Elephas maximus indicus: one gene and its partners. The protein of the gene in region 2 interacts with the protein of the main gene of each other region in a pairwise test. Links are inferred from orthologs where the notes say so. Each region holds a gene or a part of one and is shown on either strand. Other genes may lie near its edges.

Region 1 (7,280 bases), on a different chromosome or scaffold from region 2:
GTGTAACTAAGTCCTGTGCAAATAAGCAACTAGAGGACTTATGCTTCCTAATTGAACTCAGCCTGCTGCTAAATGTCTAAACAAGAAAAGCAGTTTGCTGAAGTGTGGTTCCCAAGCTGGCTAGGCCAAAACTTAAAAAAGGCAAAAAACTAAATATAAATCACAAGAATGGAGCAGGAGTATCAATCCCCTCTCCCTAGTACCATAACGCTGTATAAAGTTGAATCAATCTTAATATTCACAACATAGTCAATACCCCAGTGCTTAACTGTCAGCAGAAACTGAAGTGGAGCCCTGATAGCAAGAAAACCCTTGGACATTAAGCAACATAATTTACAGAAAATTACACACATTTAGGCTTCTAAACTAAGAATCCTCAAGATTTAATGCTTGATATCTTTTTTTTCTTTATCTTATTTTATAGTCAGGTAAAAATTATCTGTTTTAAATCACAATGCAAGATAATTAAAAATCAACCCTAAAAAAACTAATAATTTAAAATGCCCTTGGTTTTCAAAATGTAAAATACCTTTTAAAAGAATCACTCGATCTTAAGAAATCACACACACTATGTGAATAAAAAGCAAGAAAAATATTCTTTAGGCTCTCTTAGTATATGCTATTATGGTTATAGCATATATTTTAACAGCAATAACTCATCATTTTTTCTTGATTACTGTATCAGAACAGTATTATGGAGTAAAAAATCTGTTTAAAAGGAGAGCAGCTCGCCTATCAACCTAACAATTATACGCATTGTGCTATTATATGTACACTTAATTTAAACACAATCATATTTTAAATAGCATCACTTGGATATTACTATATCCTGGACTTTAACTTTCTCTTCTTTGGCTCAACTTAAAATATGGCAACTTTTAAAATACTGTATATCCAACACACACAGAGAAATTAATTCAACAGTAAAGCTTATTTAGTGCACGTATTTGCTATATAATGCCAAACACATACCAAAAATCTAAATTAAATCTCTTCCTCCATTCGAGCTGGTACTACCACCGCAAGATTAAAATATATTCAGATTAAGAAAGTCTAACAAGAAAATTAAATTGAAGTGAACTGCCAAAAAAAATTTGCCTAGTTTGTACTTGTAGTTTTTCATTCCAGCACTTCTGCAAAACCTGTTTTCTCATCTATCCCCTGCCTTGAACATTTGGAAAATTGTTTAACCTGTACCCGCGGACATTTTTCTACTTTATAATATATATTAAGTACCTGCACAAATACAATAACTTCAATCGTAAAATTTAATAAAAGTATAACCGATGCAACACAATGTATATGCCTAGACACACTGTTATCCTTCCTCACTTCTTAAAAGTATTCTTCCCACCTAAAACACTAATTCAAACATGCTATTTGGGGTCTGTTCAATTGCATCCATTCTTCTATCTGTGGAGGTGAAGCTTAAGACTAAGTAGAACAAAGTTCCGACGATGCTTCTCCCAGGGACTCGGTCCCTGGCATCCAGTCTCCCGTTGCTCCTTTTAAAAACTGACACACAAACAAGGCGAAAGGAGCGGGAGAGGGCTGCTGGCGCTCAGGACCCCTCCCCGCCTGCAGCCAGGGGCGGCCGCCTGGGAACGGCGACCGGTACGCATCTACACTTCATTTTACACCAGAAGCGAAATTGAGAAATCGACTCCAGATTTATTGCAGTTTTTTCTTAAGATCTGGAGGTGGGAAGGAGAGAATGATCAAAGATGGCGGTGCCCAAAAGCAGCAGCTCTCAACTGGAGAGTGGAAGGAGTAGCTCCGACCTCACCTCGGGGGTCTCCAAGACCACAGCAGGGGCGCAGCGCCTTACCTGTTTTCTCTTTGATCTCACACAGGACGCTGAAGAGCGCGGGTTTCATTCTGTGACAGTTCAGAGCGTGTTTCCTAAAAAACAAAACAGCAAAACACAAAGGTATTAGCATCACCTATGGAATAATATGGCGCCTTCCTTTAAGTTAGACCCAAGATTTAATTCCGGTCCCCTATTTTGGAAGGCTCTTTAGAACGATGGGAAGTCTACAGAAACTCAAGTTGACTAGTTAGCGACAGCCGGGAAGCTCCGGCGAAAGCTCCAGCCAGAACGAAGCGCGACCCATCTGCCGGGCAGGCAGCAGCCTCGGTAACCGCAGGGCGCAAACCCGCGCGGGGAGCCTTGATACCGGGGCAGCGACAGCGACCCGGGGGTGAGGACGGCCGCCGAGAGGCTCCCGCGCCCGCCCTCCGCAGGGGGAGCGGCCGCCGCGCCGACCTGCCGGCCGAATGCCGAGAGCGAACGGGTGACAGCTCCACAAAGTTTGCGGAGCGGCCCTCCCTTCCCCGAAAACTTGGCCGCCGGCACCCCACCCCGCCGGGGAGGCGCCCAGCGCCCAGCGCCGGGGCTGGGGCAGCGCCGGCACAGCGAGGTCGTCCGGTGGCCAAGGGGAGCTCCGGCGCCGGGACTCTGGGCCGGGGGAGAAAGTTGCACTTCCGTGAAGCGCGGCCGCGGCCCCTCTCGGGGCAGCGTGCACTGGGGTCCTGGCGGGAGGTTTAAACCTGTGGGAGGGGGCCGGGCTGCCAGAGGGCCGGACACGGCAGGAAAGTACAGCAGAAACGCTGCGCGGCACCGGGGCCGTCCCACACCTCAAGTGCAACTTTCCCGACTCCCGCCTGCGTCGAGGGGCGCGGGCAAGTCCCCAAGGCCAGGGCGGGCGGCCGGTATTCGGAGAAAGTTCCCCGCCGGGGGCTCAGGCCCGTGCCCCCGGCGCCACCCCGGCCCCGACTCGGCCGCGGGCCTGGCTCCCGCGCACACACAAAAGATGCTTAATGAGACGACACCAACTTTGCTTGCGCCTCGTCCAGGCTCTGGTCGGTGATGGTCATGATCTGGTGAAGGATGTCGCCGATGTCCTGCTTCCTGCCGTCGCCGTCCGCCCCTTCGTGACCGTGCGGGGGAGGTGGCAGGGCCATGCCCCCCTGCACCGAGTGCCCGGCCAGGTTCACCCCGGCCAGAGTCTGCAGCATCCTGGATTGATCGTCCATCCCGCCGCGCGCGGGCGGGAGCGGGCGGCGGCGGCGGCTGAGGCGAAGGCTGAGGCGGCGGCGGCGGCGGCAGCGACGACGAGGGAGGAGAAGAAAGAAGGGGAGGGGGAGGGGGAGGCGGCCGCGCGCTCCCCGCCCGCGCGGGGAGGGGGCGGCCCGGCCGGCGGGGCCCGCGGCTGAGGCGGCGCGGACGGGCGCCCGGCTCTGGCTTCCGCCGCCGCCGAGGCTGGAGAAAAGCGGCGGGCGGAAGCGCCGGGCTCCGCGGCGGTGGCGGAGGTGGAGGCAGCGGCGTCCGCTGCCCTCACACGGCCGCCGCGCCGCCTCCTCGCCGCCGCGCGCCCCGCCGGGCGGCCCCGCGCAACTTGCTCCTCAGCGCCGGCCGAGTTGCCGGGACGCCCGCCGGCCCCCGCGCCAGCCTGCGCACTCCCCGCCCTCAGCCGCCGCCGCCGCCTCCGCCACCTCGGCCGGGCGGGATCCGAGCCCCGGCGGCCCCGGGGAAGGGAGCGGCGGCGGCGGAGGAGGCCGGCGGGCTGGCCGAGGGGAGCGAGGGGGGCGGAGGAGGAAAGTTTGGGAGCTGGCGGGCTGGCGCAGAGGGGGCGCGGAGCCCGATGGAGGGCCCCGGCGGGCCGCGCGCCGGACCAGCAGCAGATTGATGAGGCGGGAGAAGTCGCCGCCGCCACAGCCGGAGCCGCGCACCCAGCCAGCAGCCGCCGCGGACCGGGCTCGAAGGCCGCTCGGCTGAGGGATTGACAGGCTGCCAGTGCCACTCACTCACTGCGGCCCCGGCGCCCGGGGGGAGGGGTGGGGGTGAGCGAGGAGGGCGGGGGCGCTCATCCTCACGCCCCGCCCCTGGGGGCGGGGCGCGCGCTCATTGGACCTTGAGCCTCCCGCCGATGCCTCTGGCACCGCCCCCTCTGGCCTCTGATCCCCAGCGCTGGAGGGCGCGCCGCGGAATCCTAACATCCGCGTCGCGTTCTCGCCCCCTCATCGACCCCTGCTCTCAAACGTTGTGCCCGCGCCCCGGCTCCAGCTCCATACTGTTATCAGTCTGAAGTGCGGGGGGGTCATTTGTGGAACATGGAACAACTTGCTCCAAAGCCAACCAAGTTCTTCCCCTCAGCGCCTGTGAGCTTCACGCCTCGGACAGCGCCTGGTACACTTTTCCCGCTTTTCCTGTCAGGAGGTGGTACCCTCAGAGTACCCGGAGCCTGTCCGGGCCAATCGCATCGCGCTTGAAGCAGAATGGGGCGGGTCAGAGGCAGGAGAGACCTGTCCCAATTGGAGTGTTCGAAATCTCCTGGGCGGAGGCAGGGGAGAGATGGTGGCCCCGCCCCTTCTGCCATCACCATAGTAACTGAGAGGGCGCTGCAAGGTGGTGGCATGCGTGGGCCTTGCACTGTCCTTCAAGGGGCGACCAGTTAAATGGAAAACTTGCCTCACGGAGGCTTGGCATCTGAACTGGTCCAGTCTGAATGCCATACTCTTTTCCTTTAAAGAGGAGCATATGAGACCATATCAAAGGGCAGCGGGTCTGGGAGTTAGGAAAGAGCTTGAAGTCCAGGGCTTATTTCAAGACCTACAACTCTTTAGACACTCTGCAACTCCTAGTAATTCAGGGACTACTCCTTTGGCAGCGTTTGCTTTTAGCTGCCTCCAGATGTACAAGCGGGCCCTTTGTACCAAGGACAAGTATGGGGATAGACTGGATTCTCTTGTCAACTTTCCCCATCAGCATGAGTCATTTAATATTGGTGACTGCAGCCCCAGATTTTCATATCTATACGACGCGGCACTGCGGTTTTTTTTATACGACCTATTATTCCATTGTACTCGGTCTACAAGTGACTAAAAGCATCACATTGTTTTGGGATCTGGACTTCCACGTCTTGTGGACACTTAAGCTTGCTCTTAACCTGATTTCCAAACAGAGGCTTCAACATCTGTTTTCTCCATGTTGGATTCATGGATCCCACCCTAGCTAGAAGATTTTGAAAAGTCTCCTTGTTCCGTTCCCAAGCTCAGTAAGCTATCTTACCTGAAACCAAAAATAGGGGTATGAAGATATGAAAAATGGCTCTTACTCTGCAGGGTTTAATGTAGGACAAGCAGTTCTTTAAATGCCAGATGGATTCTTGGAATGAAGCAGGCTACTCAGTTCCAGGTTCTTTCCTTCATATGTTGTGTGTACTTTTAAATACTCCCTACTGCAAAGCTAATAGCTAACCTTACAGTTAAGCAAGCTAAAATCCTTGCAAACTGCACAGCTGCTGAGAAGGGAATTCCAAACAATCCACTCTGCTTACTTACCTTGGAAGAAGATCTCCCTCACATTCATTAATATTCCCTACTCCTCTATACCTCATTTATATATCAAGTTTATATCAATTCTACTTTCAAGCCGCCCATTATGGGTGACTCATAGTCATCATTGATTGGGTTTTCTCTTTATTCTCAACTTGTTTTTCAAAGCTTGTTTTTCAAATCATTACTCATTTTTGCATAAAGGGGCAAGAGCAAGCAGCAACCTTTTGTAATTCTCCAACGTTGAAGACGTAAAACCATAGAATTCTATCTAAAAGATGCTTTAAACTCTTAAGATTCCTTCCCGCTCTAAAATTCAATGATCCTGTGATCACTATCAGGCCTCCTCCCCTGCCCTCCTTCTAGGCTCATAATCTTGACTAATCAGTCATGAGGATGAGTCTAATTAGCAATGTGGATTTATGGTTATTTCTAGCCCACTCCAAACAATGAGTTATGTAAGCAAAGCAACATATATAAAATTGTAAATAAAATTAAAGAAACATTTAAGCAAATAGAGGCAATTGGGAACTATGGGCTATGTAAACAAACTGGAACATAAAACATAAATTAGAATTAAGAAAACAGTTAAGCAAATGCCAGCAATTAGGAATAAAGCAACTTGTTAAATGTCTAACACCCACAGCTATTTTATGGTACACACCTCTATACTCGTGGTCACTCAGTGATGTGGAAACTTGGTGCCATAATTCTGCATTAACTGATTGGATTAGATTGACCTTTTGCTTGGGAGGCTTCTCTTTTTGTTATTATCAATATGAGTTGCGGTAAAAGCCAGAGGATCCAAGCAAGGATTCCCTCACAGGCTCATTGACAACTGCCATTGACTTAAAGCATAAATTCTTTTACATTGGTGTCCAAGCCCCAATAAACAGTGTGAACTAATTGCAGATCCTCCAAGATCTCTTGAGCATTTGCCAGTTTCTCATGTAGGATGCTGCTTTGCCTCCACTCAGGAATCTGAGTCACATGGTTGGTGCCTTCACAGATAATAGAATAGAACCTTCCTAAGTACCTGGATCCGTCTTTACTATTTCTAAGGCAGTGATTGTTATAAAGTCAAGGAAAATGCCATTTACTTTTGGTGAGTGTACATGCATATACATTTAACAGTGACAAAGCAATGAAACCCAAGTCAGGGCTTCCTCATATCCAGATCATTCCATGTGTTTATATTAACATCATCATCTCTCATCATGTGGCAATCATAACAGCAAATTGAGCACTTTCTTGGGATAGGACACCGTGACTTGTTTCTCTTACTTCATCTTATTTCAGTTTCAAACAACGCGGGTTAAGTGGGATCATTATGATATAAGGAAGCAGGACCAGAGTAGAGTAAGGAACTTGCACAAGACCACAAAGCCAGTAAGTATCGGAGCTTACATTCAAATCTTGATACGTGTGGCTGCAAAGATCACCCTCTAAAACAATGGCAAAAAAAAAAAAAATTAATCAAGATTACTAAATAAAGACCACAAGACTTAGTAGGTGAACTACGGTAAATTAGCGAAAATAAGTAACTTGGCGCTTAATTAAAAAAAAAAAAGGGGGGGATAAACATCTCTATTTAAGGAATCCAGGACTCACTGCAGCAGAGGAGGGAAATAAAGAACAAAGCCCAGCCAGGCCATCCTTCATGGCTACCTAGGATCCCACCTCTCTGAAGTTTGCATGCCTTTCCTGCCTTCACTGATCTTCATCTGCACTAAACTCTCAGAACATGTTTCCTGTAACACATACTTGACCACCAGACTAGATAGTCCTGTGTTGTTTGCTCTCAATTTCCCTGTTAGTTTTCTAACCTAGTTCCTAAGTATATTAACAGCAAGGTATTTTTTGAGATGTGACCATAACATGACTGATTTGGTGGTGGTGGCTGTTGTTTTTAAAAGAAAAAGAACTTAGCCATCCTAGAGTTA
Region 2 (7,219 bases):
GTTTGGTGTTTTATAAATAGACGTTAGGAAATGGATTGTACTGATAGTTGCACAACTTGGATAATTTACTAAAAATCATTGAATCGTGCCCTTAAAACAGGTAAACTTGATGGTATGTAAATAATACTTTAACGAAGTTGTTTTAAAAACAAAAAAACCAAACCCAGTGCCGTCGAGTCGATTCCGACTCTTAGCAACCCTAGAGGACAGAGTAGAACTGCCCCATAGAGTTTCCTAGGAGCACCTGGCGGATTCAGACTGCCGACCCTTTGGTTAGCAGCCGTAGATAGTACTTAACCACTATGCCAGCAGGGTTTCTGTTGTTTTAAAAAGACATTAAAAAACCCATTGCCGTGGAGTCAGTTCTGACTCATAGAGGCTGATAAGACAATCCACAGAATGGGAGGAAATATTTTCAAATCACATGTCTGATGTTTTCAAACCACATATATCCAGAGTATATAAAGAACTCTAGAGCTAATAATAAAACGACAACCTAATTTTAAAACTGGGCAAAGGTCTTGAAGAGACATCTCTTTAAAGAAGGTATACAAATATCCAATAAACACATGAAAAGATGTTCAACATCATTAGTTATCAGGGAAATGCAAATCAAAACCACAGTGAGACACCACATCATACCCACTAAGATGGCTATAATCAAAAAGTCAGATAATAACAAGGGTGGACTTAGGATGTGAAGAAACTGGAACCCTCATACACTGCTGGTGGGAAACGTTAAATGGTGCAGCCTGTTTGGAAAATGTCAGGAAGTTCCTCAAAAAGTTAAACCTAGAGTCATTTTTTTATCCGGTGATTCCACTGCTGGGTATAGGCCCAAGGGAAATAAAAACAAACTTATATGCAAATGTTTGAAGTAGCATTATTCACAATAACCAAAAGGTAAAAATAACCCAAATTTCCATCAACTGATGAATGGGTAAACAAAATGTGGTCTATCCATAAGGTCGGTTACTGTTATTCAGCCACAAAAAGAAATGAAGGATTGATACAAGCTACAACATGAATATATCTTGAAAATATTATGCTAAATGAAAGAAACCAGTCACAAAAGACCACATATTATATGATTCCATCTATATGAAATGTACAAAAGAGGCAAATCTATAGAGACCCAAAGTAGATTAGTGGTTGCCTAGAGCTGAAGGTAGGGGAAGGGAGGTAACAGCTAATGCAGGACTTCTTTTCAAGGTGATAAAAATGTTCTAACATTGACTGTAGTGATGGTTAATATACTGTTAATATGCTAAAAAATGTTGAGTTCCACACTTGAACTGTATGATATATGAATTATATCTCAATAAAGCTGTTACAAAAAAAATAAATAATATAAGACAGTGGCAGTTCTGTGCCAGGAAGAGAGCGAGGTCTTTGGAGTTCAACAGACTGTGTTAATCCAGGTCCTTCAAGAAGCAGACATCAAGCTAGATTACACATGCACAAATTCTCTAAGGGGAAATACCAGTGTGACATAAAATAGAGAGAGAGAGATGAGAAAGGCTGGGAGAGCCACCAGACTATGATGCAAGTCTGACCTTGAATAAAAGAGAGAGGGAGAGAAGGTTGGGCAGAAGCATCCTAGGCTGTCATGGAGCTACAGAAGGTTTGAGAAGCCAAAATTGGACATAAAAGGAGTTTAGTACCAACCAGGAATGGATCTTAGTATCCCACCTGTACTTTGTCACTGGATGGGAGTAGCCTATGGGGAGCACGTCCTTTGTGCATATGCGGCAATGGATTACAGAGTGCAGCTGAAACCCTTGGTCAGTTGTGCTCCCTGTACTTGGATGTCAGACTGAGGTTCAAATCCCAGTTCAGCAATTTACTAATCATGTGATCTTGCACAAGATACCCTCTCTGAGTCTCATTTTCCTCATCTGAAAAAATGGGGATAAGAGTAGCAAGAATAATGCATATAAACTGCTTAGCGCAGAAAAAGCAGGCAGGAAGTGCTCAGTGGAGCCCTGGTGGTGCAGTGGTTAAAGCCCTGGGCTGCTAACCAAAAGGCTGGCTGTTCGAATCCACCAGCTGCTCTGCAGGAGAAAGATGTGCCAGTCAGCTTTTGTAAAGATTTACAGCCTGGAAATCCTATGAGGCAGTTCTATTCTGTCCTATAGGATTGCTAGGAGTCGGAATGGACTCGAGGGCAGTGGGTTTTTTAAGTGCTCAGTAAGTAGTTGTTAGCTGCTGTCAACTTGGCCGTGACTCAAGGCGACCCTATGCATGACTGAACAAAATGCTGCCTAGCCCTCTGCCAGGATCCGTTGTAGATTGGACAGTGTTTTGTTGTGACCCATAAGGTTTTCATTGGCTTATTTTTGGAAGTGGATCACCAGACCTTTTTTCCTCGTTCGTCTTAGTCTGGAAGCTCCGGTGAAACCTGTTTGGCATATACTAACACACAAGCCTCCACTCGCATGAGGTGCATTGGTATGGGAGGTGCGCGTTCTCCCACTGAAGCACCAATGCCTAACCAGTAAGTGGTAGCTACTACTAATATAATACAAAGGAAGCCTGATGGCACGGTTGTTAAAGCACGTGACTGTTAACTGAAAGGTCGGTGGTTTGGACCCAGCAGCCGCTCCACAAGAGAAAGATGTGGTGGTCTGCTTCTGTAAAGATTTATAGCCTTGGGAGCCCTATGGGGTGGTTCTACTCTGTCCTACAGGGTCGCTGTCAGTCAGAATGGACTTGATGGCAATGGGGTTTACTACTACTATTATTGTATTTACCACCACTAGTACTATTGTATGGAGACCTGGTGGCACAGAGGTTAAGAACTCGGCTGCTAACCAAAAAGTCAGCAGTTCGAATCTACCAGCCACTCCTTGGAAACCCTATGGGGCAGTTATACTCTGTCCTATGAGTCAGAATTGACTTGACAGCAATGGATTATGGGTTAATATTATTGTTCTGAGTATTTCTGCTTAGATTTTATATACCTCCATTAAAACAGTGAACATCACATTCTACATGTAATAAGTATTCTGTTTGCTTTACTTAACATCACAATGTAAGTCTTTTTCCAAGTTATTACGCGCACTCCATAAATACTTTAAAGGCTGCATTGTATTCTATAGTGTTCATATCCTAGTTTACTTAGCCATTCTCCTAATCATTAATTTTTCTTTTTCTTTTTTGTATTTTTACCTTTTATAAAAATTCTTGTGGTGGACATTTTTATGTAGAAATAATTTTTCTTCCGGTATTTGAGATTATTTCTTTAACGTCCCAGAAGACAATTACTAAATTAAAGAGTGTGAAAACTGTTAAGGTTCCTGATGCAGGTTACCAGCTTTGCTCTCCAGAAAGGTATGGCCAGTTTACATTCCAACCAGCAACATATGAGAGTGTTCACTTCACTTAACCAGCCTTGGGTATAATTTTTCTATCTTTAAGTATGTGTTGACTGGAATGGCAAAATGGCATTTTATCTTTGTTACTTATAAGAATGAAAGTTTTCCAAATGTTTGTGCACAGTTAACATTATGTCGTGGTTAGGTGCTGTTGAGTTGATTTCGACTCATATCGACCCAATGTACAGAGTAGAACTGCACCATATATTTTCTTGGCTGTAATCTGTATGGGAGCAGATTACCAAGTCTTTCTCCTATGGAGCCTCTGGGTAGGTTCAAACCGTCAGCCTTTTAGTTACCAGCCAGGTGCTTAACCATTGTGCAACCAGGGCTCCTTACAGTTAATATTATACATGAAAGCAATTCTTTTGTGAATTGTCCTTGCACAGTAACCTACTGAGGTCTTAAATTTTTACAATTAATTTGTACAATTTGTTTAATAATAATTGCCAGGGACTCCTCCCATTATTTTGCCTTTTGAGTTATTTTTATATACAGAAGCCTTTTGTTAGTCAAATGTGATTTTCTTTTGTAACGTTTTTTGCCTTTTTAAAACTTGTACAGCCCATCCTCCTGTAGAGTGCAGACCTTGCTTTACAGAGAGTTCAAAGCCAAGCCACAACTGAGCTGCTCAAATAACATTTAAAAATTGCGAATGAGTAGAACTTAGTGTAATGACCACCTACTGCAATGACCTTCTCAGAAGCTCATTTTTATTTCTCTTTTTGTATTCTCGGACCCAGGATATTCACTATTAACTGTCTAGGAAAGATCCCTCTTGTGCAAAGGTGCTGCCCAGGGCTTCCAGAACTACAATGGAGGAGGAACCTGGGGAGAAACCTGGTCTGGATTGGTCCACTGCTCCCAGGGACTTCCAATTTTATCACATGGATCTGTATGACTCTGAAGACAGATTGCAGATCTTCCCAGAAGGAAACACTAGAATGAGAAGAGAAGTAGTTCAAGCTGAAATGACCAAGGAGCCAAGAGCAGCAGCAAAAGGTAGGGCTCAAAGAGATCTTCAAGAGGAGGTGGATGAACTTGCTCATTTATATGGACTTGAAGATGATCACGAGTTAGGAGATGAGTTTGTTGGTGAAAACACACTCAGGGCGGGTGTTTCAGAATACCCTCCTTACGTGATGAAGAGGAGAGAGTCAGCGAGGGAGCAGAGAGACTGGCGATTTGGTGGAGAGGCAACCGAGGCCGAGGACCTGAGCTTTGGAGGGTGGGGCTCGAGAGGCCAGTGCCAGGACTTGAGGGAAGCCTATAGGTACACACGTGGCCGGTCCAGTGAGGAGTATGAATGCTATGTCATCCCAGAGGAGGAGGATGAGGAAGAAGCTCCCGACATCTTTTGTGTCACTTGCAAAACTCCAATAAGAGCTTGTGAGAAGGTTTTGGATGAACACAAGGGACATGAGGTGACTCCACTCGATAAAGCACTGGAAAACGCCAAGGTAAATAGGCCTCCTTAGTTCTTCCTCTTGATAATACATTTGTATCTCAATTATATCATCAGGGGATAAATTTAATACACTTTCTATAAAAAAGAGAGAAAAAACATCGAATTAAAGACTTCTTGTGATCCTCTGTTTGATAGGATGAAATTCACAAAAACATGTTCAAATTGGAAAGGCAGATTATTGAGATGGAAAATTTTGCAAGTCATTTGGAGGAGGTTTTCATCACTGTGGAGGTAAGAGTATGCTTAATTACCTTGTCATCCACACGTTGCTGCCATCATTGGCTGAGTCGACAGCTATTTCTGTTATAGGTTGTTGTTGTTAGGTGCCATCAAGTCAATTTTTGACTCATGGTGACCCCGTGTGACTGAGTAAAACTGCCCCATGGGGTTTTCTTGGCTGTGATCTTTACAGAACCAGATCACCAGTTCTTTCTTCCCTGGAGCCAGTGAGTGGTTTTGAACTGCCAACCTTTCAGTTAGCAGTCAAGTGCTTAACCATTGCTCCAGCAGGGCTCCTTTGTTATATGTTAGAGAATCTATTTTCTTAGAACATGAGGTATCACCGGTGGGGAGCCTTTCCTGACTGCCCCATACCCACACCCCTTCTTCTGGCCTCCCATAGCACTTTGGGCATATACCTCATGGAACAAATTACCTGTTTATATTCCCTACTGAACTACGAACTCTCAGAAGTTGGAGGCTGGGTCTTCTTTGTCTTTATATCCCTAGTCCTACTACAGAGTATGTTTCAGGATAGGCATTTTATATGTTTGTTGAATGGATAATGCTGAAATTTTCCAATCACGATCCTTCACCTTCATTAGCATCTTTCTCCTCATGCTCCTTACACGCAAATCACCAATTGCACGTGGCTTAGACCCCTATTCTAACAAAGATGATTTTAAGATGGCGTTATCAAGCAGAAGCCCCTCATTTGAACTTAGGCAGTAAAGAGGCAAATGGCTTTCTTTTATCTCATTTTTTTTTGTGCTAATATCTCAATCACTGAGAGAACCCCTTGGATGCTATTTGATGCTACCGGCTTGTGTAGCTGGAGATATTGGGGTTCCATGTAGTTTCCCTGTTCTCAGGGTTAATTCTAGGCTGTTGGAGATACTTGCAGTATTCACTACATGAAGTTATGTGTGGACCATCAAGCAGTTTTCAGTTGTTTTAATAGCCAATGTACCCAATTCTGCCTGTTAATGCCACTCAAACACAAACATATTTTTAGCTGTGTATGGACTTTAAAAGATAAGTTTACATGTTGTCTTTGCCTATTTAGGAATTTCCAGACTTCCCTGAGAGATCAGTAAGAAATTTAAGAATCTAGGGTCAGAATTCCCATCCTTTGAAGGCCCCTCTCCATTGCAACCCTAACATGGGGAAGAATGTGAGCTCTTGAGTCAAGGGACAAAGTTTCAAAACTTAACTACTGAAACAGAAGCTGCTGCTCTGTCACTTATGCCCACTGGTCATTATTTGAGTCCCTGGAGTGACACAGAACAAGATGAGTCCCTTTTTCATGGACCAGCTTGGACAAAGCATTGCAAGACACCCATCCTGTCTTTGATAAGTGTTACTTATTTTTCATAAAATTAATAAGTTTCTGTGCCTGTCACCAAACATGTCAGAGTTCCCGGGTATGTCTTAGGAAGTATGTCACATACCACTATGATACCAGAACTCAGTCTAGCCTTCCAGATGAAAAAGAGCAGGGCTGAGAGCCATAGGACTCCCCTTTCCACTCCTTTCCTGTGATGCTGTACTTCTATTAATGTAGCCTCAGATTGTATCAACAGAAGCACCTCACATAGATTAACTAAGCCCCAGGACCCTTTTCCAGGAATCTAGATCTTTGTTACCCCTGATACTAAAAGGGAGAGAGCTATTACACTGTGGAAGGCACAGAGAAGGCACAGCCCTTTCCCCTCCAAGGACAAAACTCCTTACACTCTGCTCTGTCAGATCACAGATTGGAGTAAAGTGTCTTCACCATCAGGAAGGACTCTGAGGTCATCCTTTCATTTTCAACAATGGAAGGTCATCTATTGCTTTTCCCTCTTTTCCACCATTCTATCAGGTCTTATGCATATAACAGGTGCTCAGTAAATACTCCTTGAATGATTGATACAACTCCCTTCTTTGGAAATGCCCTTGTCATTTGATGAGGATGATATCAGTCAGAACCTACAGTGCTTTCCTGGGCTTCCAAGCTGAGTAATAGGGAGTCAGGATGCTCTAATTAATATTTCTCACCCACTGTGCTCCAGGATTAAGTATTGTCACAACCCTTCCTCAGCCATCCTGCATTTTCTCATCTATTAGGTAGACCCACCTGGCAATGACCCTTATTCCCTTTTGCCTTTATCTC
Region 3 (7,556 bases), on a different chromosome or scaffold from region 2:
GCGTCAACAATCTTCCCGTTCTCTCACCGTTCACTATTAAACTGCTGAGGCTTGTTAGCTCTCATTCTGGTTATGTTTTTTAGTCAAGGCTAAATTAAAGAAAACGGGGTTTACAAGGTTCCATTTCCTTAAGAACCCTACAAGAGAGAAATTGTTAGCAAGAGCTGAGATTCAACCCACGACAGTGGCTGCCGAGCCGCTGCCCTTTAAACAGCTCACATGAAATTCTAACATTCCCTTCTGTGACGCCAAGATCGCAGGATCGAAAAAGGGACCCAAGCGCCGGCGCGGCCACCTGCTGGGCAAGCGCAGCCGGGCGGGCCGGAAGCCCGGGAGGCGGTGCGCGGGTGCCCCGCCCTCTGGGTGGGACCCCAGGCGGGGCCGGGGCGGGGCCAGCTGCCGCGGGAATCCCGGGGCCGCCCCCTTTCCTCGCCCCTCAGCTTCTCGCCATGGCCCCTGCGCTTCTCTTGGTTCCTGCTGCCCTCGCCTCTTTCATTCTAGCCTTTGGCACCGGAGTGGAATTCGTGCGCTTTACCTCCCTTCGGCCACTTCTTGGAGGGGTCTCGGAGGCTGGCCCCGGTGAGCGGGAGGGACCAGAGGATGACTCCGGGATAGGGGGGTGGAGCCGGAGAAGAGGGCGCGGGGGCGGGACTTGGAGACCAATGACAGATGGGAAGTCTTGGAGAGGGAACTCGAACCTTGGAAGCGCCGAATCGCGCCAGGGGAAGGGGACCTGCGGGCTAAATTAGGAACTCGGGGATAAGAGGTTTAGAATGGAGAGAGAGTGAGGACTGAGGGGGAGGGGAAGGGTGATAAGCAGAGTATTTTAAGGAAAGGGCTTTATGGGGAGGACTGTAGAGAAGAGTTTAAAAGAGGGACCATTTGGAGAACTGAAATGAAAGAGAGAATCCAAGGTGGCCTCTCCAGCCACGCCTTTTGTGACTGCCCAACGTTCTTTGTTCTGTGACTCCTCTTTCCCAGCTCTGGAGGATGCCTGGGGAAGAAGGAAGAAACGGGAAAGAAAAAGTGACATGGGCAAGCCTGGAGAGGAAGCATGAAGGCTCTTGGAGGCATTAAGGGACATGGCCTGGTGCTCTAAGAGCCTAGGATAAGGAGTGTTTCCTGCCATCTTCCTGATCTTTTCTCTGTTTCTCATCTCCCCCTAGATGTCCGGCAGGGATGGTTGGCTGCCCTGCAGGATCGCAGCATTCTTGTCTCCCTGGCATGGGATCTGGGGCTCCTGCTACTATTTGTGGGGCAGCACAGCCTCATGGCAACTGAGACAGTGAAGGCATGGTCGTCTCGGTACTTTGGGGTCCTGCAGCGGTCACTGTATGTGGCATGCACTGCCCTGGCCTTGCAGGTATGGGGGCCTGGCAGGCATATTCTCAAGGAGGACAGAATCTGTGGGAGGGACACCCTGGCGTGGAGGGGCATGGAGTTTAGGCTTCTGATAAAATTTGGATTTAGGAGGAGAGCTGAGGATGCTCAAGACTCTAATCTCAGCTTCTGTTCCTCCACAGCAAATATCTTACTCTTTATCAAGAAGGGTGTACTCATCACTGGCCAAGCACAGTATGTGCATTCTCACCTTTGCAACTTTGTTCATGTTTTCCCCCTGCCTGGGATCCCCTCCTTAACTCCACTCAGTCCTACCAGTTCTTCAAAACCCACACCCCTAAGCCTCAAGGGAAAGCTTCCCAGTGAGTGCTCCTTTGTCTTCTTATTGGGTGCTTGGTACTGGCTACTTCGTGTACCTGTCTGATCACCCTACCCATTCTGTAAGTCCTCAGGGTAGAGACAGGTCATCCTTATATTCTTGGAACCCCACCCAGCACGCTCCACGCGGTGGATGCTCATGATGGGGGTAGGGGAGAGCTGCAGATCAGCCTGGATGGGGCAGCCTCTGGGACTGGGTATCTCAGGGGTGGGCTGCGGGGATACTCAGCTCCTCATCCTTCCCCAGCTGGTGATGAGGTACTGGGAACCTGTACCCAGAGGTCCTGTGCTGTGGGAGGCTCGAGCTGAGCCATGGGCCACCTGGGTGCCCCTGCTCTGCTTTGTGCTCCACATCATTTCCTGGCTCCTTATCTTCAGCATCCTTCTCGTCTTTGACTACGCTGAGCTCATGGGCCTCAAACAGGTGAGGCTTCCAGATCCCTACCTGGGGCCTCCAGCCCTTTCTAGAACTCCTCTTCCCCTTCCAAGGATTTCAGTCCTCCCCCTCCAGTGCTCTACCACCTTCCCCTTGCTTGTGACTCCCTCACCTCCCTTTCCTGTCAGACAGTCTCCCCTCAGCCCTCCCTCAAAGCCTAGCAACCATGGGCCTCCTGGGCCTGGGGAAGATGCATGGACTAGATAGCCATGTCAGGAGCCCAGCTCTCTGAAGGGGAGTGCCTGGGCCTGAGTTCTAGGAGGAGGGTGCCTGGGAGAGAAAAGAGGAAGCCAAGTTATGAAAGGAAATCCTGGTGGCATAGTGGTTAAGTGCTAGTGCTGCTAACTAAAAGGTCGGCAGTTCGAATCTACCAGGTGCTCCTTGGAAACTCTATGGGGGCAGTTCTACTCTGTTCTATAGGGTCCCTATGAGTCGGAATCGACTCGATGGTAATTTTTTTTTTTTTTCGTTTTAAGTTGTCAAAAGGTCTTGGCTCTATTTCTACACTGTTCTCCCTGTCCTAGGTGTACTACCATGTTCTCGGGCTGGGGGAGCCACTGGCCCTGAAGTCCCCCCGGGCTCTGAGGCTCTTCTCCCATCTTCGCCACCCAGTGTGTGTGGAGCTGCTGACCATACTGTGGGTGGTGCCCACCCTGGGCACTGATCGCCTCCTCCTTGCTCTCCTCCTCACCCTCTACCTGGGCCTAGCTCATGGGCTGGACCAACATGACCTCCGCTACCTCCGGGCCCAGCTACAAAGAAAACTGCACCTGCTATCCCGTCCCCAGGATGGGGAGGCTGAATGAAGAGCTAACTTCTGGTTCCAAGCCCTGTACTTCCTCTTCCCCTCAAATTCTAAATCTGTCAACATCCAAGTGCTGGCTACTTCGGGCCAGAGGCCCCAAACTCTGAACTGCAGGGCCTGGTCCTTCCCCTACTTGAGACTCCATTTCCTGAGGTCAGCTCCATACCCTAAATTCAGAGTTTTAGTCATTGGACTCGAAGGTCCACTTCTCACCAGCTAGGGCCCTCTCCTCTCCCTAAAGAGGCTGGTGTGGAACTCATCTGTCCCCTCACCATTTGGGGATTGAGCTTGAGCGCCCCCTTCCAGCGCCTACACCACAAGGGAAAGGATCCGCCTTGACCACTCCCCTGGCACTGTTGCTCAGGGATCCCCCTTCTCCAAAGCTGGCTTCAGTCCCAAGGAACTGGATCAGAGTCTGCAAGTTTGACTGTACTGGGCGTCCCTCCAGGGCCCACGCCTCGAGGCTCCATCTCCAGCCCTTATTATCCTCTCCACCCGCCCTGTCTTTCCACCTTCCTAGGTCCCGCCACTGGTCACTTTCCCCTGGGCCTCGTTGAGGGGACTCTCCCGCTCTTGTTTTGGATAGCTTAGGGCTCCCTGCTTCCCCGAGGTACACGCGTTACAGGAAAATAAAATTTAGCCTGACTTTTCTACATCTGGCATGCAATCTTTAGTGTCTCTCAGGCTGCAGGAATGGGTTTGGGAAGGAAGGAGAGCGGGAAGCCGGCCGAGACAAACGCAGATCTGGGCGACCACTTCTCGCGGACCCGCCCCCACTTGCCCGGAGCTGCCGAGTTCCCCTTCCTTCACAACCCCAATTCTGTTGCAGACCAGGGGACTCATGGGAGAGGGGGCTGCTACTCTGGTTGGAGAGCGAGCTCCCAAAGCTGTTGGCCTGGTGCGCCTGTCCCGTCCTCCCCCCTCGCCCCGGGGCCCATTCGCATGGGCCCGGACAGCGGGGCAGCAGTAGCCCTCGACCCCTCAGTAACAAAGGCTGTCGGGGGAAGGCAAAGGCATGGGGAGGAGCGGCAGGAGATGGGAAGGGCGGGCCCGGCTCGAAGCAGCTGCAGCTTCCTCCTCAAGTCCCTCGAGGGGCCTGAGTCACTCACTAGCCGCCGCCGCCCTGGGTCGGAGAGCTAGGAGTGGGGGTCTGGTCACCTAGGCACTCAAGGGCCAGGGGGCGGAGGGATGAGGGCCTCTGGGGACAGGGCAGAGACTGTCGGGGGTTCTGACGCGAAGAAGGGAGTCCCGTAGCGGAACCCCAAGGCTGGGTCTAGGGTAGCGAGACTCCGCCCCCTCTTCAGGCTCCGCCCCTCGCCCCGGTCCCTCTCCCCATTGTCCTCAGACAAAGCGGTTGCCGCCCCCCGCCCGGCCCCCTGGTCCCTGTCTAGGTCCCTCCTTCTGGGCTCCCTTTTTCCCTCCTCCTATCCCTCCTTCTCCCCTCCCTCCCGTCTCCGGATCTCCCTCGCTCCCTCTCTCCTCCTCTTCCTCTCTCCGGACACCGGGCTCTCCTGCACCCCCTCCCCTGGGGCCCAGCGGCGCGTGAGTTGACCGAGGGGTTTCAGACTTGGGGAGGGATGTTCTCCTCGCTCTGGTCCCTGCTCCCTTCCCAGTGCCGGGCCTTGGGCTGTCTCTTCTTTGTGCCGAGATTGTGCAGTCAGAGCCGGGTAGGGGCGGCCGGCTAGGTGGGAGTTCCCTGAGAGCGGGGGACCGGGGCAGCGGACTCTCAGGCTCTGGGAAGAAGAGGCGTGGAGCCGATCCTCGGCAGGCCTGGGCCCCGGGGCGCAGCCAGTGGGGGAGGCAGGCGGTGGTGGCTGGACAGGGTGGGGGTGGATGCCTAGTTCTGGGAACATGCTGGCAGCCCAGACGCCCGGGTTCGGAGAGTCCCGGGGGAGGGTATTTCCCTTGACCCGCCTTGGGGGCGGAGTGCGGGGCAGGGAGGTGGGGGCTGGGGGACCGGAGGGGCGTGGCCGATTGACGCTGGAAGGGGAGCCAGGAGACTTAGGGCCGCGCTGAAGCGCGCCGGCCTCCTGCCGCGGCGCTCACTTTCCCCTCCACCCCTTCACTTCCCCTCTCCCCTAGACCCCTTCCCTCTCGGACCCCTCCTCACTTCCCCAAGACCCCCCCACCCCAGGTCCCTTCATCCTGTCCCCAGCGCTACTGTCTGACCTCCCTTCCCACTCTCAGCTCCCGTGGGGTAGCGGTGAGGCAGCCTCGCCTGAACCCGGCCCTCCCCTCCCCCCGCTTCGCTTTTCTCTCTTTCGCCCCCAGCTTCTCTTTTCTCCCTTCTCTCTCCCTGTCACATCCTTGGGACAGTAAGACTTCTTAACAATGTGGTGCCAAATCTGACTCCTCCCTCTTTGCCCTGAATCTGCACTCTTCCTTTTACCTCACTGCCCCCCCCCACCAACTTGGCTCTTATCTTTTCTCTTTATTTTCCCAGCTTTTCCCTTCCTCTGCCTCCTCTTCTCCCTCTTTTCCCCTGTCCTCACCTCAGCTCCTCTTCTCTGTCTCCCACCTCCTCCCTTCACTTCCTTTCCCCCCACACTCAGTCTCACCCCCTGAGCCTCTCTCACAAGCCTCTCCTTCCTGTCCTCTGCCCCCAGCACTCCACAGCCTCACCCCAAGGCGACTATGGCCACCATCCCAGACTGGAAGCTCCAGCTGCTAGCCCGGCGCCGGCAGGAGGAGGCAGCCATGCGTGGCCGGGAGAAGGCTGAGCAAGAGCGCCTATCCCAGATGCCAGCCTGGAAGCGGGGGCTCCTGGAGCGCCGCCGGGCCAAGCTTGGGCTGTCCCTTGGGGAGCCTAGCCCTGTGCCCTGGACTGCGGAGGCTGGACCTCCAGACGCAGACGAGTCTGCTGTCCTCCTGGAGGCCATCGGACCAGTGCACCAGAACCGATTCATCCGGCAGGAGCGACAGCAGCAGCAGCAGCAGCGGAGTGAAGAGCTGCTTGCTGAGAGAAGGCCCGGGCTGCTTGAGGCTCGGGAGCCAAGACCCAGCCCTGGGGAGACTCGGGATCAGAGCCCCAAGGGACGAGAGTCAAGAGAAGAGAGGCTCAGCCCTAGGGAGGCCAGAGAGAAGATGCTGGGGACACGGGGAGCCCGAGAGTCTAGCCCCAGACCTTTAGAGGCTCAGGACTGGAGGCCAAGTCCAAGAGAGATGGGAGATAGGAACTACCGACAGTCAGAGGCACGGAAATGGAGACTGAGCCCTGGAGAGACTCCAGAGAGGAGTCTAAGACTGGCAGAGCCTCAAGAACAAAGCCCCAGGAGGAAAGAGGTGGTGGAAAGTAGACTGAGCCCAGGGGAGTCTGGCAGCCAGCAGCTGGGCCTCACAGAGGCCCATAAATGGAGGCCTGACTGCGGAGAGTCTCAGGAACAGAGTTCGGCACAACTAGAGGCATCACAGTGGAGGCCGAGCTCAGGAGAGGAAAGCAAAGACTTCTCGGGAGAATGTGGGAAAAAAGAAGACAGGCCAATTCCAGGGATGGTCCCAGAAGAGATTACAGGGCTATCAGAGACCCTAACAAGGGAGGCTCGAGACAGCAGCCCCGGAGGAGTGGAGGCAGCAGAGCAGAGGCCTGGCCTAGTGGAGGACGGTGAGAGGGGCTTGAGGCTGACAGAAGGGTGGAAGTGGACCCTGAACTCCGGGAAGGTTCAAGAATGGACACCCAGAGACACAGAGACACAAACTCAGAAACCAGAACCTTCAGAGTCCGCTGAGAAGCGCCTGGGGCCTCCTGGGGTAGAGCCTGGAGAAGGGGAGGCTGAGGAGGAGGAGACAGGGGCTCAGGGCAGGCCTCTGAGCATCCTGCAGAACCGCTGCTCTGTGCCCTCCCCCCTCCCACCAGAGGACGCTGGGACTGGAGGCCCTCGACAGCAGGAAGAGGAAGCAGTAGAACTCCGGCCCCCGCCACCAGCCCCTCTGTCTCCCCCACCCCTAGCCCCACCTGTCCCCCAGCCCCCTGGGGATCCCCTCATGAGCCGTCTGTTCTATGGGGTAAAGGCAGGGCCAGGGGTGGGGGGCCCCCGCCGCAGTGGACACACCTTCACAGTCAACCCCCGGCGGTCTGTGCCCCCTGCAACCCCGGCCACTCCTGCAGCCCCTTCCACAGCTGATGCTGCAGTCCTTGGGACCGGGAAGAAGCGGTACCCGACTGCCGAGGAGATCTTGGTTCTAGGGGGCTACCTCCGCCTCAGCCGCAGCTGCCTTGTCAAGGGGTCCCCGGAAAGGCAACACAAACAGGTAGGGGAGCAGCCAAGCCAGACTTCTTAGGAGCCCACTCGCCAGTTCTCTCTGGGCACCGGTCTTTTGTTCATTTTTATACTCCTGTATTCTTGTCTCCCTCTATTCTTTTTTAATTCCTGCCACCACCCTTCCTCCCTCTGCACACACACCCTTTCTTCTTGCTGCCTTCCTGTTCCATTCATCTCAGAGCCTGCCCAGCAATCAAGCACTGTCTCTGGGTGTGCTGTCCAGGGTGTGCCCAGGGTGTGCCCACGCTGTGCTTTCTCCCTTCCCTAGGGCTCTGAGTTCTCCCCATTTCTTTCTCTCCTTTCCTCTGAGTCTGTGACCCAGCCCAGCCCATCTGGT
Region 4 (7,080 bases), on a different chromosome or scaffold from region 2:
GCTGTTCACTTGACCTAGAATTCTTCTGCTTGTACAGATCAAGTAAATACTTAGATTTCCCATCTATTTTGCTCCTAGAGACACCATGACTAAGTAGCAAATGCCTTAAGTCTATACTAGTCAGACTATTCTGATTACTGCTTGAACCTCGCTGGCTATTATGGTAACCACACCCACCTTGTCTTTGTTGATTGAGTGCCACCACTTGGCCTCTACCACCACAGGATCCAATCAGCCCCATTGTAGCATCTTAATTCACTTAGGGCAGTTCCCACTGTCAAATCAGACTTAAAAAAATAGCTATCACAGCAGTCTTCAAGGATGCTGGGACTCCCTTCACAAATTTGTTCCTCACCATTGTGGTAAAAAGTGTGTTTTCTGGGTACAAATGTGTGGGTCTGCTGGGCTAACCAGATAAATGTACTCTAACATGCTAATTTCCCTAAGTCTTCAGATACCTTCTTCTACAGTATACCAAGGCAGACCTGGTACTTCAACTTGATTAGTGTAGCCCAACACGTAATCCATGCTTCAGTGAACCAACCAAATAAACAGATCCTTTCCTAACCTCTTGAACTGAAACATAGAATGATGAATCTGTGCTTAGCGTGCCCATATCAATAAACTCAGACTGATCCAACTTCATGTTCCTTGCACCATTATCCCACAGCCTTAATAGCCATTCCTGCACATATTCCCCAGGTTTCTGTTTGTACATATTAGCAAAGTCAAGCAGTTCTTTTGAAGTGTACCATACCTATTCCTGGGTCACTTTGTACTTCATCTTTTGGGGCTCACTGGGACTTAAGTCTAGTTATAGGTCTAGAAGCAAAAATAGAGGGTGGGGAGTGTTCTGAGAACATTTAGCAATGTCTTATAAGGCAAAAAAAAAAAAAAATTTTTTTTTTTTATAAGGCATCTGCTTTAGGCGATGCCCTGGGCAATGCCCCAGATGCCTCCCCAGGTGATGACTTGGATGCAGCCCCAGGTGATATCTCAAACAAAGGCTCTTCAGACACAGCTGGGTTAATCTCATCAAGTTGGGATGGAAGGGCTAATAGTTTTACTGGGGAAGGTCATTTAGCTGACAAAGATGGAGTGATTTCTTCAGATGTGAGTGAAAGGGCTGGTTCTATTGGCAGGAGTAATTCCATGGAATTTAGGCACTCAGTGTCCCCGGGTTCCTGACTATGTGACTGTGTGTTCCCATACCAAGTTTCAGGATCCCATTTCTTCCCAATCAATGCCCCGCTTTAGCTTCAGACACCATTTGAGGTTGGGAATTCTACTGGCATTGTAATTCACCCACTCTTTTTTTTTTTTTTTTTTATGATAAGACTCTCGGTTTGGGTTTTGGCGGTATCAGCTCTGTTACTAGAAGAAACAAGGCTTTCTTTCAAGGCAAGTGGTAACTTTGAGGTCATTTATGTGGCACTTGAGTTGTGACTCTGAAGCCCTGAGTTTGTTTCTTTCACCACTTTTTCTGGCAAAAGGAGGGCCGACCAACCATCTCCCTTATACTTTTCATTCTGACAAAATTGTAGAAAAGTATCAAACATATAATCACCCCAAGTCTTGTCTCTCACCAATACTTGATCTTTGGTGGGGATATTTTGTGTATTTCTATTGCCACCTTATGCCATAAATTCACAGCGCCCTCTTTAGTACTGGAAGCAGAATCATCAACAACTTTAAGACTAACCAGATTTGAGAACCAATTTAGAAAACTCATCCTTACGATTTTGTTTCTGTAGAACCACTCTTGGTGCCAAATGTCTTAGGCTGGGTTCTCAAGAGAAGCAAAAGCAGTGAAATATATATATACATATATATATATTTATAAAGAGAGAGAGATTTATCTCAAGAAAATGGCTCATGTGGTTGTAGAGGTTGTCAAGTCCCAAATCCTTCTTTGGGTCAGGCATCAGGCTGGAGGCTTTTACTGACTCATATAGCTGCAGGGGCTGATGAACCCAGGATCGGTCGTCAGACAGTAGGCTGTTGGCTCGCTGGTTGCAGAGGCTCACGAATCCAAGATCAGCAGGCAATACAGTAGGCCACTGGCTCAAGTCCTGAGACCAGAGGTCAGATGATGATGAGCCAGATACAAGATCCAGAGCAAACAAAAGCCAGCGAGCTTGGCAGAATGACCATATATAATGGATGCAGGCCACACCCCTGAGGAAACTCCCCTTACAACTGATTGGCTGATCACATTGTGGAGGTGATTACATTGTATCACAAAATGAAGGATAACTACATCATTACACAACTGCTAAGCCACATCATTATATAACTGCCAAACCACTGAGAATTACCGCCCAGCCAGGTTAATGCACAACCTTAACCATCATATTTCCAACACCACAGTTCAAATGTGTCAATTCTTTTTCTATTGCCCAGATTTTGCTTGCAATATGAGTAGCGTCCTCATGAAAAAGGAGAAGCTACACAGAGAGACAGCAGAAGATGGCCATGTGACTGTGGAGGTAGATGCAACTGAAAGAGAAGGAATGCCGAAGATTGCCAGGCGCTTCCAGAAGCTGGGAAGGAGGCATGGAACAGCTTCTCCCTCAGAGCCCTCAGAAGGAATCAATATGGCTAATATCCTGATTTGGACTTTGAGCTTCCCAACCTGTGAGACAGTAAATTTCTGTTCTCAAAATTTTCCCAGTTTGTGGTATTTAACAATAGCCCTAGGAAACTAAGACACTGGCAGAATTAGACAAATCCACAATAATAGTGGGAGATTTCAACACTTGTCTCTCAGTAAATGATAGAAAATTAGTAAAGATGCAGGTTTGAACTACATTATCACCCACCTTCACCTGACTGGCATTTATAGAGCTCTCCGCCCAACAATGGTGAAGTACACATCCTTTGGAAGTGCATGTAAAACATTTACTAAGTTAGACCATATGCTGGATCATGGACAAGTCTCAAGAAATTTAAAAGGATTGAAGCCACACAGAGTACATTCTCTAACCACAACACAACTCAAGGAGAAATCAGTAACAAAAAGGTTTGGAAAATTCAAAAAATATTTGAAGATTAACACACTTCCAAATAACCCATGATCAAAGAAGAAAGCACAAGGGAAATTAGAAAATATTTCAAGCTGAATGAAAATGAAAACATAGAAATTTGTGGGATGTAGCTAAAGCAGTACTTACAGAAATGTTTGTAGGCTTAAAAGTTAAGGCAATAAATAAGAGAGGTTTAAAAATCAATGATCTAAGCTTCCACCTTAAAAAACTTACAACCCAAAGTAAGTAGAAGGAGGAAATAGTTAATATAAGAGCAGAAATCAAATGTGATAGAATCAATAAAACCAAAAATTAATCTTTGAAAAAATTAGCCTGGTCTGATCAAGTAAAAAAGAGAGAAAACACAAGTGACCTGTATCAAGAATGAAAAGGATGCATCACTACAGATCCCACAAACAAATGCAGATAATAAGAGAATATTATTAACTACTTTAGGCCAATATTCCATAACTTAGATGAAATGGAAAAATTCTTTGAAAGACACAATTGCTATCAAAATGGACATGATAGGAAATACAATATATGAGTAGTCTCATATCTATTTTAGAAATTGAATCAGAAATTTTTTAAAAAGTTTCCCAGAAGGAAACTCCAGGCCCAGATGGCTTCACTAGTGAAATCTAGCAAATATTTAAGAAAGAAATAAAATGTTGGAATGGGCGCTAGAAAGCCAGTGTCTTCTCTGGGGTGTCCCTGAGCTGGCTGGGCTGGGTTTGCCTGTCAGGACTCTGCAGGTGACAGGATGCAGCCTGGGCAGCAGGAGGTGCTGGCAGGCAGCTGCTTCTTTAAGGGTGGTGACATCACAAGGCTGCGGAATGCCTTGGCCATCCTGGAACTCAGCGACCTTGGCTGTCCGTGGGGTGTCCACGATTGGATCTCCATCCCCATGGGGTCGTAGGCCCGCATGTGACTGCGGAGGCAAAAGTGGCCATGGCTGAGGGGAGTGAGCTGATGAACAGGCTCATGAGCGAGAATGCTGACCTCAAGAAACAGGTGCGGCTCCTGAAGGAGAACCAGATGCTGAAGAGGCTGCTCAGTGAGAGCTGCCAGGAGAGTGGTGGCCGTGCAGCCCGTGAGCTCCTCCTCCCCAGGGCTCCCAGCTACCCTGAGGCCTGCTCTCCTGGGGGTGCAGGTAAGACCTCGAGAAGGTCATGGGAGGCTGCCTCCCTCTCCAATCTGGCCACTGAGTCCACCCTAGAAGATGGGTAGGGGTGCCAGTCAGCAACTGCCACGGAAGGGTTGCCAGTGGCTTACACAGGACACACAGGTTCTCATAGCTCTCCAGGACCACTGGGCTGGGCTTGGCTGGGCTCCTCTTGGCTGGATGGTGTGCTAGGCTGCGCTCCTTCTTCTCCAGGAGTGTGGACCAGCCCCGGCAAATGACATGAGGGTGGCCAAACCCACAAGCTCTGGGAGCCTCTGTTCCCATCTTGTCAGTCCACACCCTGCAGCATGCAGGAAGTGTCGCCCATGGTGGGAGGACCTACAGTCACAGACAGAGGGAGAGTGACTTGGTTTACCACGTGGTTAGTATCAATTCAACATTCTAGACCTCCTATAGGGAAGTAGTTTGCTCTGTTTTTATAAATCAATTCCTTATGTACATGGGAAGTATAGTTTGTGGCATGGTGGATGGTGCATGATGTTGGTGTTTGAGTGACTCAGATGGTGGGCAGTGGACGGGATCCTTGGCCAGCACTGCCTGAGGGAGTCTGGTGACCAGAGAGCTCAGCTTCCTGCTGGAAGTGGAAACTGCTCACGCTCGCTGGCTGGACAGAAACAGAGGAACACATCAGCTTGTCCAAACCTCAGTGAGGGGGCAGGTGGCCACGCAGGTGCCCTGTCATTCCAGGATGACAGGGCAGGTGGCCTCAAGGCTGCCCTGTGAGCCCTGCTGTCTTGGAGCTTCAGTTGTTCCACCAGGCGTGAAATGTTTTTCCTCTCTTGAGACTTCCTGAAGTGGCTACTGATTCCTCGGTGAGGGGCTTGGAGCCCTGGACAGCAGCTCACTGGTGTGAAGGATCCCAGGCGTGGCTGCGGGACCCTGTTTGAATACCTAGCTCTGCCTTGGGCACAGTGTACACCCCAACAGGGTTTGCATGCAAGAGGCGGGCCCTGTGTCCTGTCTGCTGGCCCCAACGGAGTACATGGGGGAAAAGCTGTGATCATGCATGTCCCAGTCCAAGGGACCCATCGCAGGGTCCTGAAACCTTTATTCTTGAGGGATCCTTGAGGAGGGAAGATAGGCTGAGAGGGACCCTTGGAAGAGATGGGTGGGAAGAGGAAAGGGACTCAGAGATCAGCCATGGCCAAGAATGGCTGGAGAGCTGGTTTTCCCTGAGCCACCAGCCTGCACCCATGTGTTCTGCACCCATAAGGCCTCATGTGGTGACCCCCTGCATGTCAGGCTATCAGTCCCAGGCCACTGCTCAGTTGTTGTGTCCACAGAGGCACTTTGCTTCCATGTCTGTGGTCAATGCTGTGACAACTGCCAAGAGCCATGTGATGTGTGCCGCCTCATGTGTCCTGTGTTCCAGGGACTCAACCCACCAGGCCTAAGCTCAGGGCACAGAGCCACCATGGGTCAGCACGGGCAGCGGTTCTGGGGAGCACTCAGAGGTGGGCGGCGTTGGGAGAGGGTCGAGGCTCTCACTTGGGCAGGCCATCCCCTGGAAGACCTTAGTGAGGAGCTGCACCTCAGTCCTGGCCAGGGTGAGGACCTCTTGGTGCCTCCTCACCCCAAGCCCCAACCACGTGGCCTGATCAGCCCCCTCAAGCCAGGCCCTGCCTCCTCAGTGCTTGTTGCCTTCATGCTCAGCCGTCTTTCCTGGGTTTTCCTGCAGCTTCAGGACGCGTTGGGGATCTCTGGCCCAGGGTGTTGGCCAGATCCTGGGTACTGCTGCTGTGGTAGCCACTGTCCCAGGGGGTTTTCCTGCTGTGATGTGAACTTGGGCGTCAAGCTTAGGGGAGGGTCTCTTTCTTTCTCCTATTCCCTGGTCCTTCTCTGACCTCGCTGATGGTGCTTGTAGTTACAGGTGTGGTCATGTCTGCTCCACACCCACACATACAGCCAGGGCAGTGTGGGCCTGAGATGACCCCCTTCCTTTGTTCTCCTTCCCCAAGTCCCCACTGAGACCCCAGCTTGGGACACTTGGCAGGCTGGTTGGGCAGGGGGGCCCATGGCAGGCTGCCCCTAACCTCTGCTGCTTCAATGGGCAGCACTGTGGGGGCCCTTGGTGTCCAGGCCAGATGCACGAGCTCAGGGCAGTCCAGGCTCTGGGCATTGCCCTTAGGGTTGGTCTTGACCTTTGCCTTCTGCCCCCATGAGAGGGTCTTCCTGGAAGGAGTGCAGCCTCGGCCTTGGGGATTCCAGTTTGGAAACAAACACTGAGCTGTTTCACAGATGGCAGAAGTTCACACACGGAAGACTTCGACACAGCAAAGCTTGTTTTGTTTCCCGGAATCCCTTCACTCCTTGTTCAGAAGACACGTGTTTTTGAACCCATTTTTCTTAATTATACAATATGTGCTCACGGTAAAGTTTAACGCCACATAAGGATTTAGATAGAATTCGAGGCTCCATCTTTGCCACCTGATCCTGTGCCCCAAAGGCAGCTGCTGTCAACATTTCTCAGGTTTCTGTCTGAAATTCTTGATGGATATTCATGCACAGTTCTGCCTAGCCTTTTGGTTTACCTAAGTGGGATTGTATTTTTCTGCAATTTTCTCTTCACCCCCTTAACCATCCATCTCAGCCCCATTCTCCATCATCCTCCTCCATGGATCGTCCCATCTTACACCAGTGTTTAGAGCACAGACTCTTCCATGTGGGGATTCCACATCCCATTTGGTGTACCCACAGTGGGAAGGCTGCCAGCTTTCCATGATCAAGTTTCAGTGAGCAGCGTCATATACACACCTCTGTGAACGTGGGTTTCTGGGGCCAAAGCCAAGTGCGTTTGTAATGTTGGGACAGACCCCACCACGTTACTCTTCACTCCCACCACAGGGGGGATGCCATTCCTGACCTTCC

Evidence for each region.
Region 1: the proteins of FSD2 (region 2) and PBX3 interact in a two-hybrid assay, tested with the Homo sapiens proteins (3 studies listed by BioGRID and IntAct). The two-hybrid records come from large-scale screens. The link is inferred for Elephas maximus indicus from reciprocal best matches to the Homo sapiens genes FSD2 and PBX3.
Region 3: the proteins of FSD2 (region 2) and PPP1R18 interact in binary tests that used the Homo sapiens proteins (3 or more experiments, as listed by UniProt). The two-hybrid records come from large-scale screens. The link is inferred for Elephas maximus indicus from reciprocal best matches to the Homo sapiens genes FSD2 and PPP1R18.
Region 4: the proteins of FSD2 (region 2) and SPATC1L interact in binary tests that used the Homo sapiens proteins (3 or more experiments, as listed by UniProt). The two-hybrid records come from large-scale screens. The link is inferred for Elephas maximus indicus from reciprocal best matches to the Homo sapiens genes FSD2 and SPATC1L.

What each region holds. Positions count from the first base shown.
Region 1 is NC_064827.1:76,699,901-76,707,180, reverse strand, and holds the start of PBX3 (pre-B-cell leukemia transcription factor 3), read right to left. Parts: upstream 3,119-7,280; 5' UTR 3,037-3,118; coding exon 2,837-3,036; intron 2,444-2,836; exon of another isoform or gene 2,178-2,443; intron 1,903-2,177; coding exon 1,829-1,902; intron 1-1,828. UniProt on the Homo sapiens protein: Transcriptional activator that binds the sequence 5'-ATCAATCAA-3'.
Region 2 is NC_064831.1:73,852,354-73,859,572, forward strand, and holds the start of FSD2 (fibronectin type III and SPRY domain-containing protein 2), read left to right. Parts: upstream 1-4,192; coding exon 4,193-4,837; intron 4,838-4,980; coding exon 4,981-5,076; intron 5,077-7,219.
Region 3 is NC_064819.1:91,004,466-91,012,021, reverse strand, and holds the start of PPP1R18 (phostensin), read left to right. Parts: upstream 1-4,418; 5' UTR 4,419-4,502; intron 4,503-5,566; 5' UTR 5,567-5,594; coding exon 5,595-7,208; intron 7,209-7,556. Other genes in the region: NRM (nurim), read left to right, coding at 450-579, 1,167-1,363, 1,967-2,143, 2,680-2,961.
Region 4 is NC_064820.1:231,321,260-231,328,339, reverse strand, and holds the start of SPATC1L (speriolin-like protein), read left to right. Parts: upstream 1-3,977; coding exon 3,978-4,179; intron 4,180-7,080.